Linked DNA regions of Rhinolophus ferrumequinum. The protein of the gene in region 1 binds, or shares a complex with, the protein of each later gene. Links are inferred from orthologs where the notes say so. Each region holds a gene or a part of one and is shown in the gene's direction. Other genes may lie near its edges. The genes, in order: CNOT6 and CNOT11.

Evidence for each region.
Region 2: CNOT6 (region 1) and CNOT11 share a complex: the UniProt entries of both Homo sapiens proteins name them as parts of the CCR4-NOT complex. The link is inferred for Rhinolophus ferrumequinum from reciprocal best matches to the Homo sapiens genes CNOT6 and CNOT11.

What each region holds. Positions count from the first base shown.
Region 1 is NC_046307.1:3,498,168-3,505,337, forward strand, and holds the start of CNOT6 (CCR4-NOT transcription complex subunit 6), read left to right. Parts: upstream 1-4,019; 5' UTR 4,020-4,181; intron 4,182-5,086; 5' UTR 5,087-5,189; coding exon 5,190-5,196; intron 5,197-7,170. UniProt on the Homo sapiens protein: Poly(A) nuclease with 3'-5' RNase activity.
Region 2 is NC_046296.1:3,473,448-3,481,615, reverse strand, and holds the start of CNOT11 (CCR4-NOT transcription complex subunit 11), read left to right. Parts: upstream 1-5,086; 5' UTR 5,087-5,162; coding exon 5,163-5,679; intron 5,680-8,168. UniProt on the Homo sapiens protein: Component of the CCR4-NOT complex which is one of the major cellular mRNA deadenylases and is linked to various cellular processes including bulk mRNA degradation, miRNA-mediated repression, translational repression during translational initiation and general transcription regulation.

The sequences.
Region 1 (7,170 bases):
GGACATTTGCTCAGCTGCTGAGGGAAGCTCTCTCTTTCCTTCTGGGCTTGAATCTTGTAGGAGCTGGCATCCATTCTGCTTCCATACTGCCCCTGATGATAAAATCAACATGGAGAGGAGCAGAGTGCATTAGCCTCTAGATTAGCCCCTGAAGCTGATAGACTCTTTCTGGCCTTTTACAGTGATTAGACCCAACTAACTCCTTTCTTTTCTTAAAGCTGTTTGAGATGGTTTTTCAATCAATTGCAGGCTAATATAGTGGGCCCAGAGACAAAGGACACTCTGGGGAGATCTGACTGGGACCTGCAAGTTCATCTGTTAGACTGGGTCCTCTCTGAGAAAAACTGGAGGCCTCACCAGTGCTGGCCCTGGTCAGCAAGTCTCCACCCTGAAAGGAGGCGTCAGACTGTCAGAGCTGAGTGGCTCCACAGGGCCCACAGTTCAGGCTCACCAAGCACCCTCTGGCAAGACCGGTTTGCCATGTGCTTTCCCACTGGGAGACGTGGATCTTCCACTGTAAGCATTCGGGTCTCACCGTGGTTGGGTTTATCTTGCAAATAAACCTTGGAGCCTGCATCAGTTCGCCATCTCCTGTGCATTTTAGTTACTGCAGCCACTCTGAGCAATGCTCCCCATCTCCGGGGACCTTGGCAAGTCCAATTGCTGGACCCACAAAGTTATGGTCCACATCCTACACCGACCTTGAGTTTGAATTCCAGACACGCCTGCAAAATAGACACCACAGCCACATCAACAGGCATGGCCACCTCTTGGTTGTCCATCTTCGTTATTTATCCTCCTATCCACTAGCCAATACATTTACTAAGCATCAAATGAGAAGTATTTTGATTGCAAGTGACAGAAGCCTAACCTTAACTTAAGCAAAAAATGAACTTATTGGCTCATGTACCTGGACTAGATCATAGGATAAAAGGGAAAACTATCAAAATCAGGATTTTGGCACCTGGTACCAAGGCTCTGTCACCAAGACGATCTCTCTTCATCTCTCTCTCATCTCTCCATGTGTTGGGAAGATGCACTGGCTGCCACCAACTCATACTGTCCCAGTTTAGGACCCCAGTGGTATGAGAACTCTTCCCACATCCACATAGCAAATCCCAGGTTGGTTACATGCCCACCACTGGGCCTGAGGGTCAAGGTGTTCAGAACAGAGGAAGGAACTGCGAAAGCCTGTGAGTGGAAAAGACTCAAAAGCAGCCCCAGTTGGCGGCATGGGGGCAACATGATTTAGATTGGAGTGGCTCACAGCCTGGCAGGGAGAATGCTATCTTTGCTGAGTGCCCTGATGGCAGGAAAGGGGCCCGGAGCCTGAGGAGACAGGAACCAACTCTGCTGGGAAGCCTTCCCTGAGAAGGCCTGAGGTGGAATCTGCTCCCCTCCTTCTGGCCACCCCAATTCCCCAAGGGATGGTCCTTCCCTGCTCTCAATACATCTACTTCATGCAGGGCTGACCTCACACCTGGCTGCAGGGAGTAAGACCAGAGCTCTGGTCAGGCCAGTGAGAGCTGCCCTGGGTTCTTGCTAAAACGATGAGGAAAGAAATTCTCAAGAGGAGAAGCTGGTAGAATCTACGCCTGCCTGTCGTAGTGGCCATCTCTCCTGCCTGGCTACACAACCTGTGTGAAGAAGCCAGTGGGGAGGAGAGCAGAGTGAAAGGTGGAGGGGTGAGATTGTTCTGGATGGCATCTTATTATGCCTGAACTTTTCAGTTATGTGACACCTGAATATGCAAATGATCTCTTTCTGCAAAAAGTCTACTTGAGTTGGGGTTTTATAACAATGCAATGGGAAGTCTTGGCTCACATGAAAGGCACGATTTGGATCTGCAAAGGTGAGAGGCTTTTCTAGGGTTTTCTTCAGATATTCAGAAAGAACAGGACGTGCACAGGCAGGGCCACCACTGGTACCCTCCCTGTGGGTTCCCCCAATCTATCAGATGGCCCCCCAAAACTCTGTCCCTCCCTGTACATACATGCAGCTCCTGTGTTGCTTATGTCCTCTCCTCTTGAATCTGGACTGGGCTTTGATGCTATGACTAACAGACTCCTGAAGTGACATCCTTCAGAAGGCCTGGCAGCTTCCACTTGCTCCCTCGTGGAGCCCTGGGTTGCCATTCAACAAGTCCAAGATCTCCTGCCGGAGAGAGAAACCACAAAGAAAAGCTGAGGATGAGATACAACACAGAAAAAGACCTCACTGGGGGCACCAAGGTGCCAGACATCCAACCCCCAGCCACCATCTCACTAGAGGCATGAGAGCCCAAGTGAGACCAACAGAATTGTCTAGCTGGGCACAGTTATGTCTATCATGAGCTATAATAAACTAGTTTACACCACTGAGTTTTTTGTTATGCGGCTGGACGTCCCCTCCACCATACATATTGCGCCAACCACAAAAAGTAGCTCCCTCTGGGCAGCTGAATTATAAAAAAGGGACCCCTCTGTCCAGGCTGGAGCACAGGTTGCCAGGGCACAGCACTCACATGGAGGCAGAGGACCAGCTGGATGTACAGCAGATTGCTTAACCCTAGACTCAGTAGCCTGGGTTTGGAGGATACAGAGGGATGCCCACAGGCCAGTCTGCACTTGCTCTTTTCAACCCCTAACCCCTGCTGCCCTGTTCTTGTCCAGTGTCCTATGGCACTAGAGGACTGGGCTGTCATGTTGATTTCTTGGAAAATGGCAGGCAGGAACCATCCCCAGGCCATGCTGGGGAGAGACAAGCACAGAACCTCGGCAGCCTCTGTCCCTCAATCTTTTCCTTGCTCTTCCAGCTCTACCTTTGCCCCAACAGCAGCCACCCGTTTCCATATACTCTAGCCCAAGACAGCCTTTGGTGGGGGTGTCTTACTTTACCGCTATTGCTACTTACCAGAACCCATTTCACTTGTATTTCTTCAGGGTTGATATCTCAGGGGGGAGCCCATCCTAGTTTGCCATGTAGATGAGAGGATGGCTACTCCTTTTCCCCTCATGCCATGCCTGTCTGCCTCTCTACTGGATTTTAAGTCTGTTGGCTGTTTCTCTTGCCTCCAGACTATGAGCTTGCTCGGGGCAGAGTGGGGCCTGCTTCATCTCTCTGCCCTGGCCCCAGCACAAAGCCTGGCCATATAAGTTAAGGTGTCCACCCCATCGTCAGCCAGTCCAGTCTTTCCTCTGCTCGCCTTCAGTCACCACCTGAATAGAACGCCTCCATGTCTGAACGCAGATGCTGACGATTACTCCAGCTAGAATCCCACCACACGAACCGTCCCTCAATTACTGGACTGAATGACCATTGATGGAGCGCAACGGGCCATTAAGTAATTTTTTCAGCATATTTGAGGGAAGAAAACTCATATGACTGTTCACGATTGAATGTCTCATCTTTAGGCAAATCAAGATACTGGCTAAGGTCAAAAGTCTGAGAGCTAGTCCATGTTTCCATGTGATTGACAGGCAAAACGGAGGGGAGGAAGATCAAAGAAAAAGAGGGAAGAGAGGAGACAAAAGTGAACAGCCCGAGACAAATAAAAGAGAGCTGGATGAAAACCAGAGCAGCCGTTAAAAAGAGGAAAAAAGAGAAGTGACGGGAACGACGGGAATGAGGAGAGCGGGAAGAGGAGCGGGAGGGAGGGCCGGGAGCGCGCCGGGCCGGACCACCGTCCCCAAGGGCGGGGGTGGAGGGGCGGGGCCTGGGGCAGCGCGTGCAGGAAGAAACCCCTCCCGGCGCCGAATGGTTGCGCCCGGTGGCGGCGGCCAATGGGCGGCCGGGATGTTGGAGAGGCGGCGGCGGTCGGGGCGCTCGCTGGCTGGGAGACGGCGGCCGCCGCCATGATGCTTGTTTGCTTTCAATGAAAGCGAGGGGGGCGCGGAGGAGGAGGCGGCGGCGTCGGTGGCGGCGGCGTCGGCGGCGCGGAGGCGAAGGCGGCGGCGGGCACAGCGAGGAGGGCGAGGCCGGGGCCCGAGAGGGCAGGAGGGCATAGTGGCGGCCGGTCGGGGCAGCTGAGACGGGCGGCTGAGGCGGTGGCGCTCGGAGGGGGAACAAAGAGCGGCGGCCGAGGCGGCGGCGGCGGCGCTGCGGCAGCGGGCGGGACTGGTATGGTGGTTCCACAGGTCAGACCCCGCTGCACTCACAGGGAGGAGGCGGCAGCGGCGGCGGAGGTCGGCGCACCCCGAGAGGTGAGCGAGATGGCCCAAGCCCGCCGGGCAGCTCCCGCACTGGCTGTTCACGGGCCCCGCTCGGTCGTGCCCCCGGGGCACGCGGGGAGCGGGCAACTTGAGCTTGGCGAGCGGCGGGCCCGTAGCTGGGCTGAGTTGGCGGCTGTTGAGGCCCCCAAGATACGTTGCGATCGCGCAGCGCCGGGAGTCGCTCCCCCACGCCCAAACCGGGGGTGGGGGGCGTTGATTGACGGCGGGCGCGGCGGCGCGCAGGGGCGGGGCGGGGGCGCGCTGGCCCTCGGACCCCGGCGCGGGTCCCCGGGAGGAGGCGAGTCGGTGTCCGAGACTCGCGGCCGGGATGGGTGGCAACTTTGGAGGAGTGGCTGTGGGATTGCGCGCTGCAGAGTGTGGAACCTCGCAAAGCGGGAAACCGACTGTTTACCCCCTCCCCCAAAAGTGTTTACAATTCAGTTTAACGCAGATTTTGGGGGAGTGGGTGGGAATGACATGGTTAAAGAATCGCTTAGCACCGAATGAAAAGATTTATGGTATTGCTAAGGTAAGGACTCGGAGTAGTTCTAGTGACTTGAAGCAGTTTTCTCCAGTAACCGGAGTTCGTTCTCTCCCCCTCTCCCCCTCTCCCCCTCCCCCCTCCTCCCCCCTGCCCCCCTCCTCCCCCCTCCCCCCCTCCCCCTCTCCTCCTCACACTCCCCACAATACGGAAACTTTTTTCTTTGACTCTTCCTCCACCTTCCCCAAAGAGCCTGCTAACTAACGCCGGTAACCTTTTTATTTAACTGTTACTGCAAATGACAACATTGTGAATGGTCATCTTGCTGGACCTTCCTGGATTTGTTATTGTGTTAAGCTGACATTGTTTCAATAATCTGCTTGAATTTGAGTTCCCATATTTACCTGTTTTCCAGGTGGATTGTCCTATTAGTGCTACTGCGGAATCTTCTTGCTTCCTTGTTTCTGGGAATTTAATTTTGAAGAGAAGAGAATTTTGGAGAGGAAGTGAAAAATAAAATGGCATGTAATAACACTTTGTGTTTTTCACAATACACTGACTGGGATTTACCATTCCAAACCAGTTTTGTAGGTTGTAGGAGCTGATACAGCCGTTGGTCAAGGTTTTGAAGACTTTTTTTGGTAATTGCTGTCAGCAGTTGTCACTGTCTTTAGAATGTCATGACTTTTAGAATAAAAATTGCTTAATATTTTTAGACGAGTGATCTAGTCCAGTCGACTTGCTTTAAACAAAATATTTGAGTAAGTGCTGATGAGGAAAGACCTAGAAGGTTAAAGTGACTGGCCCAAACATATTACAGTTAAGAGGGACCAGGTTGTGTATGAATATGAGAGCAAATGAGAATGTAATTGCTGGAGAGTATAGTTCTTTGGGGAGGGCAGAGGGTGTTTTAATGGATTGAAGTTATTTGAGGTAGTTGAGTCTGGTCAGTTCTCAGGTGAACATGACAGTGAAATGGTCAAAAACGAAGATGTGACAAAAGTGTCTCGATCAGTGGTAATGTAAATGAAGAAGCCCTTTTAAATGTCTGTTTGATTTTGTAGGTATCTTCAGGTATCTTAAATCTTGGGGGCAGAGTACTGTTACTGGGAAATTTCAGACTAGTTTCTTTTAAAGAGATGAGGGTGGTTATAGAACTCGATCCTGACAACAAATAAAGGTGTTGTAGGAATCTACCTCCTCTACCTGTAGTTTATAAATATGTGCTTTGGTTAATACTTAGGCATCGTGCTATACCCATATGAGCCTTATTATATTCTTTAAAGCATACACCGTTTTCATATGCAACGTTTTCATATGTAACGCAAACAGGAATAAAGGCCCAAGGACTGCTCACAGCTGAGGGTGGGGGCGCCGACATCTTCAGCACACTTGTACTTTTTCCATGTGCAAGGCACACTAGGGAAAGCTCTGCTTTTAAAGTGTTTATCACTTTGGAAAAGTCTAAATAGGCTCAGCTAAGAACATACTCTAATGGAGAAAAGAAAGACGTGGATTTGTGGGTATGTAATGCTATTAATTACACTTTTGTTGTGGTTGGAACTTAATGTTACTGTCTTGGGAAAGTTCCAATTTTAATTTTCAAATCCTTAGCTTCCACAAAATCTTTTATCCATGTACTTTTTTCTTTCATCTTAACTGCTGCTCATTTTAGGAAGGTAGCCATTTTAGGACAGTGTGATTAACAAAACACTATGTATGTGAAATTAAGAAATGCTGAATAAACTGTAAAACTTACTGTATGCATAGCCTGTGTTCATTAGAGTACAATGAAATGCACTATATTTTGGTATTTGAAGTAGTAATTAAAGAGGAGAAGGTCGTTTGCCTCTAAGATGGGGCCTCATTTAGGCTGCCTTAATCTTACTCCCTCATCCCTTTATATTTTCTTGATAGCTTAAGTTACATATCGAGGAATAGTTATGCTGGACCCTGAGAATGCAAAACTGAATACTCAAGTTTCTGCCTGGGTGTAGTTTAATAGGCTTAGTAGGTGTACCAAGTTCTGTGGGAGAATAGAAGAGAAAATGGTTGTATTTGTGGAAGGTGTGGAAGCAGTTTACAGAAAATAACAGAGAAAAGGTGTTTGTCCAACTGGGGATAAGGGGTCATTTCAAACAGAAGGAACCATGGGTGCACTGAGGTGCCAAGTGTTGGGGTGAGGTCAATGGTGAGATGTTACCGGAATAGGGAGACTGACTAGAGATGAACCTGCAAAAAAGTATGTCTGGCCTAGATTTTGAAAGACCCTGCTTGCTAAGCTAAAAGTGAGGTTTATATCTTTATCCTATAGAAAAGGAGGGAGCCAAAATATTTTTAGTGGGGGCATAAGGTGATTTAAAGATCACTGTCATCAGTGTGGAGGATTGAGCCAAGGCCCTACATGTAAAAGTCACATTTGAGATAGTGTGGAGTGAGTGGTTCTGAATCTATTTTTAACTTGGGTATATAGTGTCTTGTGTCTGGTCCCTTTTCTGT
Region 2 (8,168 bases), on another chromosome or scaffold:
TGGAAGAAATCCTGGAGGTACACACTGTTCCCCAATGAAGTCCTGTTCCCCTTCCTCAATAAAATCTTTAAATAAATAAATAAATAAAGACAACCACTGTTTACAACATTATGTATATGTGTGTATATGCATACATACACACACACACACACACACACACACAAAACCACATTTATTTTTGCTTTTTGCAATTAGCATTATGCCATGGGAATGTTGCTATTTTATTTTTAACTTCTTATTTTGAAATAATTGTAGATTCACAGGAAATTGCAAAAAAAAAAAAAAAAAAGTAGGGACAGTTCCCCTGTACTCTTCACCCAGCTTCTCTCAATGGTAACAACATCTTACATAATTAGAGTACACAACGACAACTAGGAAATAAGCACTGTTACAATGGACCTGTGTAGTTCTATGCAATTTTATCACGTTTGTACACCTATGTAGCTACCATTGCAATTCAGATACAGAAGTGTTCCATCACCACAAAGCTCCCTCCTGCGACCCTGTTGGAGTCACGCCCATCTCTCTGCTCCCAACCATCCCTAATCTCTGGAAACCATTAACCTATTTTTTTTATCTCTAAAATGTTGTTATTGCAAGAACGTTATATAAATGGAATCATAAATGTGTGACCTTTGAGAATGGCTTTTTTTCACCCAGCAGAATTCTCTTCAGATCCATCCAACAGTCCATTCATTTTTATTTGCTGAGTAGTACTCCACAGATGGATTTACTGTGTAAACAACATTTACATGTTTAAACTGTGTAAACAACATTTACAATATTCCTGCTGGTAGATTTGCTGTAGTTATTCCCTATTGTTGGACATTTAGGTGTTGCTGATGACAATAAATGCTGTGACTATCTCGTCCAAAAGGGCTTTCCTGATTCTTATTTCTTTAAGATAGCCTTTCAGAAATAGAATTATTTAGACAAAAGGATATCAATATTTTTCAGACTCTTAGTGCATATTACCAAATTATTTTTCTGAAAGCCCCACCAGCCATTTAGAGACTAAGATTAGAGGTTTTCCTAAATTACAGGCCCTATAATAAATATGCTAAAACAATCCACAAAGAAAGATTAATTCTTTAAAAAAAAAGAAAGAAAAGAAAAAAGAAAAGAAAACTCCCCTCTTTCTCAGGATAGATCAGATGAGGCAGGGGGACGCTTTCCTGTGGATTTTCTCTGTTACCCAGGAAAGGAAACTCGGGGTGGGGGTTATTATTTATTATAATAAATGTGTGACTTGCTTTCTGCAAAAGCCAACTCAATATTCAGAGGAGAAGCTGATGAGTCTTGCTATGTCCTAGATGTACTCAATTTGGTATGTGTGATCTAAAGTTATCTTGGCATTGCGCTGTCTACTATGACCAGCATGACTGGAGGCAAAATGTCACATACGTGCATGGTACAACGGTGGCCAGGATGCCTGTGCATGCTTTGATCTCTGGATTTTTGCTGTCTACCCCTTCAGAGGCTGATCGTTGGAAGAAAAGGAGGAAACGTGAGAGCATCAAAAAAGCTTAGATCTGAGAAAAAAAGTGACTGACATGGCTGTGTATGCCATGGACATGTTGAGCCTGCCAATGCCAACAATGAGCTCCATCTTCAGGACTGACCAACAGTTACAATGAAATCAAATGATTTGGGACCCTTGCTATATCATTAGATCTAATCTGCTAACCTCATCAGTAAAAGTTGAATTCTCAAGGCACCTCATCCACGTAGTACAAAGATCTCTGAAATACTGACATTCTTTCTAGTATTAATTTAAAAATTAGGCCAAAGATGTCTTACCTTTACGTGTTCAGTGTCCTAAGCAGTCCCACCCTCATCTTGGGTCATATTGATAGCTCTAGACCACAGAACTACAATAAGCTCTGACCTGCCAGTCCTGGAGCCAGCTGGGGAAAACTGACTGTCACGCGGGGTGACAGGCGGGGTCTCAGCTCCCGCTCCCCACACAAGAAGAATGCAGGACATGGTGAGGCCAAAAAGGAACACCCACGGAGCCATAGGAAGGGGAGTCATACCATTATAGTCTCACTGGAGGCTGGATTCACACGACCTGCGACCTGCTGTCCGCTTTTCTGCCAACCGACCGACTCTCTGACCTCCCTCCACTCTCCTCGACTCCCCAACGCAGCCACGGCAGTTATATTAGTGGCCAATGGCTCAATGGTTACAGCCGACGGCCAACCAGCCACAGCTGACGGCCATCTACTACCTGAGCCAGCACCTTTCCGCATGAGGCCGAGAGCCTGGAAACTGCTCTCTGGGGCTCTGTCCCCACACTGACCAACTCTACAGGCAGCCATAACTGAGCTCCAAACCCTAAAGGATCTGGCAAACTCAAGTCAGGGTCCCCAGCCAGTGGAGTAGACAAGACCAAAGAAGAATTTGGAGAGAGAACAAGAAAGCAGATATTATGACTGATAACAACTGGACTGAAAATTATAAACATTGTTTAGAATGAACATCACTCTGTTGTTTGGTTACCTTCACCAATAGAAATGCCTTCCTTCTATTGATGTGCCTGTCCTGTCCGTTTCTCATAAACACCCCATGCCTTTGCCTCCAAATCTCCTGATAGGAACACTATTTGGGGTTCTGTCTGCATCAGTGTTTCCCAAATTGCTATTCTTTTGGTCTCAAATAAATGTTTGCTGTCTCTCACTTGGGCCTTTTATTTTTAGGTTAACAAATATAAAGGTAGAAATGAGTTGGATGTGAAGAAGAACTACCAAGCCATATGCTCAGGAGAACTTAGGGCCTCTACTGGGGTGAATAGTGTCACTCAAAATTCATATCCACCTGGAAGTTCAGCATGTGACCTTATTTGGAAATGGGGTCTTGGTAGATATAATTAGTAAAGATGAGGTCATACTGGATTAGGGTGGGCCGTACATCCAATGACTGGTTTCCTCATAAGAAGGTCATATGAAACACACACACGAGGAAGAAGGCTAAGTGACCTCAGAGGCAGAGGTTGGAATGGTGCAGCCATAAGACCAGGGACACCAGAGACTGCTGACAACCACCAGAAGCTGGGAAGAGACAAGCGGGAATTCTTCCCTAGAGCCTTTAGAAGGAGCATGGCTCTCCTGACCCCTTCATTTTGGACTTTTAGCCTCCAGAGCTGTGAGAGAACACATTTCCATTGGGTTAAGCCACCCAGCTTGTGGTTACCAGGAAACTAATTCAGGGCCTGAGAGTTGTTTTCAGGGAATATGTAGGAAGCTCTGGCTATCATCTTAATTTTGAAAGTGTTCCTAAAGAAAAGCAGTTTGTTAAAAAGCAAACGTCAAGTACATTTGAAGATCTAATTGGCTTTATTAAGCAATTCATGAATCGGGCAACATCCCATCTATCCACTAGAAGGCCACTCAGAGGGAATGTGCAAAATGGAAGGCTTTTACAGGAATGGTAGGCCAAGGGAGCTATTGATAGAAGGAAAAAAAGGATTGTTTTGGGGCTGGGCCATTTTTTGAGGGGAAAGAGAATGAGAAAGAGTTTTTATCATGCTGATTGCCTCTTCTTTCTATGGGGGAATGGAGATGACTGAGGGAAAGATTACCTTGCTGGTGCTTGACCAGAAAATTCCAGACTGGTTGATTAAGATTACATTTCTGAGAGAGGTTGAAACAGCAATTAGGTCAGGTATTAAATCAAGGTTTGGTATCATGGGCTTTTAGCATGAGTGATGCCATTTTGGCATGTGGTTTTCTCTTTCACAAGTTCTGGGGGTAGAGGCGGGTTATTATAATGTTTCAATATTTTGAAACATCTTAAAAAAAAAAGTTAAACTTACATATGTAGGCTCAGGAATGTGATCATAAACCAATCAGTCTGGAATTTCCTGATCAACACTTGTGAGGTAATCTGTCTGATAAGAACCCTGTCAGCCTTCCTCCAAAGATAGATGACCTTGCCTGAAACAATCTTTGTTTTCTTTTGCTAATAACTTTCTTGTCCCACTCAGTTTCCTATAAAAACCTTCAATTTTGTACAGCCCCTTGGAGCACTTCTCTGTTATTTACTACTAGATGGGATGCTGCCTGGTTCATGAATCTGCTCAATGAAACCAATTAGATCTTCAGATTTAAATTTTGTTTTTTAACAGTTGCTATTAAGAATGTCAATTGGCAGGAACTTTCTAGAGGGTAATCTAGCAGTAAATTAAAGAAGCCTTTAGAATATGCTGGTGGTCACGCAGCAATTTCTCTCCCTTCAATTTTACTTTACAATTAAGTTGGTGCTTAATTTAATAATTCTTAAACTGCTAGCACTGTTTAGTGCACACTGGATTTCCCAAACTCACCTGGTGGGAACTAATGGTGAAATGTGCCTGTAGGTTTCTGTGGATCCAGGGAGAAGCTGGGCAAGTCTGGGAAACAAGGTGGTTCTCAGACCAGAGTGCATGCTAGTCACCTGGGGAGGTGATTGGTTTTTGTTTTGTAATACCTGAGTCAACATCTCTGGGGGTGGGACCAGGCACTAGCATTTTTAGACGCCCTGGGGCTTCCAACAAGCAGCCAAGGCCCAGAATCAGCGTCCTAGGGCAAACTATGTAAAAAGTTGCACAATTTTGTAAATATTTACTGGAAACATTCCTCCTAAATCTTGTTAAAATACGATGTACAAACGCTCCTGTGCAATATGATTCCATTTCTGCAAAAAGGAGTGTAAAACTGGAAATTAACTTTGATTATGAGTAATGTGTTAGTGACTTGCACTTAACTTTTTTTTTTTTACCACCAAGAGTCATGTATGTCATATTAAGAAAACCATTTACAATCTAAGACGCACTTTTCCAAACAATGTAGCCCCCAGCTAGTGGGACCACCTGGTGCCCGGAACTCCGCCGGGAACTCACTCCTCAACACGTAGACCCCCGCAGTTTTTGAGCGGAACCGTGCAGGCCCGCCCCCACTTCCGGCCTCTTGACCCCGCCCACCCCATCTCCGGATCCTCTCCTTGGCTTCGCTCCACCAGCCTCGCTTTCGCTCCGCGCTGCCCAGCCCTTTGCGACGCCCTGGCTTCCCCGACGAGTTTGGTTTGCGACGCTGTCGTGTAACAGCGCGCTTTACGGCCGCGGGACGGAGCGAGCCGGCGTTAGGGCCACTCCGGCCGGGAAGCGGGACAGGCGAGAGAGGTTGATGCCCGGCGGCGGGGCGAGCGCGGCGTCTGGCCGGCTTCTGACCGCTGCGGAGCAAAGAGGGGCCCGAGAAGCGGTGGGGGCGGCGTCCAGGAGCGGCCCGGGGGTCTCCGGCAGCGGCGGCAGAGGCGGAGCAGGAGGCCCCGGGCCGGGCAGTGGAGGCCCGGGGGGCCCTGCGGGCAGGATGAGCCTGACCCCGAAGGAGCTCTCGAGCCTGCTGAGCATCATCTCGGAGGAGGCGGGCGGCGGCACCACCTTCGAGGGCCTGTCCACCGCCTTCCACCACTACTTCAGCAAGGCTGACCACTTCCGCCTGGGCTCTGTGCTCGTGATGCTCCTGCAGCAGCCGGACCTGCTGCCCAGCGCGGCGCAGCGCCTCACGGCGCTCTACCTGCTGTGGGAGATGTACCGCACCGAGCCGCTGGCCGCCAACCCCTTCGCCGCCAGCTTCGCGCACCTGCTCAACCCCGCGCCGCCCGCCCGCGGCGGCCAGGAGCCGGACCGGCCACCGCTCTCGGGTAAGCGCCGCGGCCGGCCCTTCGCTCCCGGAGCCCGGTGTGCGTTGTGGATAGTTAGGTTCGTCGGTTTTCCACCTGCGCTGTCGGAAATTGCCCCGAAAGTGAAATGAGCTCTCCTTTTGAAATTATCTCTGCCTCCCCCACCTTTAAAGTATGGAGAAGTGGTAGCTTAATTACAAGTTCATGGCATCGAAGATGATTTTTCTCAGTAGTACAGGCCGTTCAAATTATGCAGCGCAGTGGGGGGCTTGACATTTTTAGTACCTTAAATACAGTTCGTTCTTGTAAAGCTTGTCTGAGGGGTGTGAAATTGTAACTAGTGACCCACCGATCTGTCCCTGGCTTTAACTTTCAGACGAGTAAGTAGAGGCCATTGTTCAGAACCCGAAGTTTTGGGTGGAAACACATTAAACAGCTTTTAAGGACTTTGCAGCCATCTTTGTTGGACTGTTAGGTGCCCTTGGATAATGTGATGGGAGCAGAGGATAGATAGTTTCAAATTCACCGCCGAGGTCAGAAAACGCATTATGTGAACTGTGTGCAACATTGGTAAGATCAGATCAGTGGCCCCATGCGAGGCTGCCTCTTATTTAATTTTATTTTTAACTCAAGAGATGCTTTATGAGACTTGACTTTGGGAGAAGACTTGCAGCCAGGAGAGGAGAAAGGCACAGAGGGGATGGTGACAAGTATAACGGTACCTGGAAGACTTAGAGAAGGACCAGTGTCATGGGGGACGCCCAGGTAGTTAGAGGTGGGAAACAGCTTGATCTTCCAGTCCTTAACCTGGTGTCCTTCACCCGTGGGTAAAGGGCAAATCACTCTATAGGCAGGGCTGCTTTACAAGGAGTCAAAAGGCTAAGACAGCAGATTTTGAGCTAATACCATGCAGTTTTTCATGGTGCAGGAGGGCTTTTACATTTTAAGCTAGTCTGTCGTCCTGCCTGACATCCCTCTGGATCTAGAGCGTCTTCTGGTTTGTTTCCTGCACTGCCCTTATCCACGAGGGGCAACTTTTTTGTTGGGTGAGATGCCCCTAGGGTACAGTCCTGAAGTTTGAGAATACTCAGAAAGTGAATGCAATATGTGTATGAGTGGTCAAAACCCACCTCCATACGGAGCCCATAGAGGATGGGGACACTGACGGATTTAGGTCACAGGGCCCTTTGAATTCTTTGCATGAGCTAGACAAAAGAACCATGATTTATATACTGTCGTTCTCAAATGCAATGAGTCGAAACCTAGATCTAGACTGTAGACTGCGTTGTAAACAAATGGGCCAGGGAAGGAATCCATGGATGGCTTATTTCACCTCTCTATGCCTCAGTTTCTACGTCTGTAAAATGCCGGTAATTCCTTGCTGGTAGAGTTATTAGGAATAAAAGTAGTCACAATAAGTATTACCCATTATCATCATTACTTTCATTAAAGCAGGTAGGGATGGTGCTTAAAAATAAATGGAATATCGGTGCCAAAGCTCATGACATTGTACACCTAGAGTGTCTAAGGAGTGTATTTTTAAAAGTTTTTCAGATGATTCTCATGCAGAGCCAGGGTTGAGAATGTATCTGGAAGTAAATCAGAAGGCTTCCCTGTGCCCAAGAAGCGTGTAGGCTGGTTGGGGAGACATAAACATAGTCATAACACAGTGTGGTAAGGGCTGTACTACATGTCACATACCAAATGCTCAGTAGCACAGAGCAAACTCCAGTGTGTAACTGTTAGAGATGGTGGCGGGGAGGAAAAGGGGTGGCCCTGCCAGGTATTCTTCAAAGAACTTGCTCTGTTGGATGTTTTGAAATCCAGAATCAGAGAAGCTGATTTTGTGCAGCTGGAGTGTAGGATACAGGCATTGGAGGGGAATTCAAGAGATGAGATCGGGAAAGGGGGTCAGAGCAGGTTACGAAGGGTTTTCAAATGGTGCAGAAGTTTGGGTTTAATTCTGTGTAAACAGGTTAAGTAACGTGAGCAGTTTTGTGCCTAGAAATATAGCAGAATGGTAAGTGGGGGTGTGGACTGTAGGTGGGTCAGGAGTCAAAAGGGGTTGCTTTGGAAACCAGGAAGGCTGTCCTATAGTCCAGGCAAGAGAGGAGGGAGAGGGAATGGCGAGGAGGGAACGGAGTCACCGGAGTCTGGTGACGCTGCAGGAGGATGGATGGTGAACAGTTAATACGGGGCCAAAGGAACCAGTCACTGTATTGAAGCAGGTGTGTGAAGTGTATTTGCGTTATTGGTGATTGCTTCCTTCTTTTCAACCTCTGCAGTGGCTGCAGCAGCAGAGAAGAAAAAAAAGCATTCCTAAGTGCTGGAGTTCTCTTACTTGTTTTTGCTTGCATATGTAAGCTTTAGCCTTTGCAGGGATTGAGGCATGTGAAAAACAAAGTTCTTAATAGTTACAAAAACCTTGTTTTCATTGATACTGCCACAAATCATAGCATTTCCAATGACGTATTTAATTACCTTTAATAAAAGTATATATTTAGTTAATT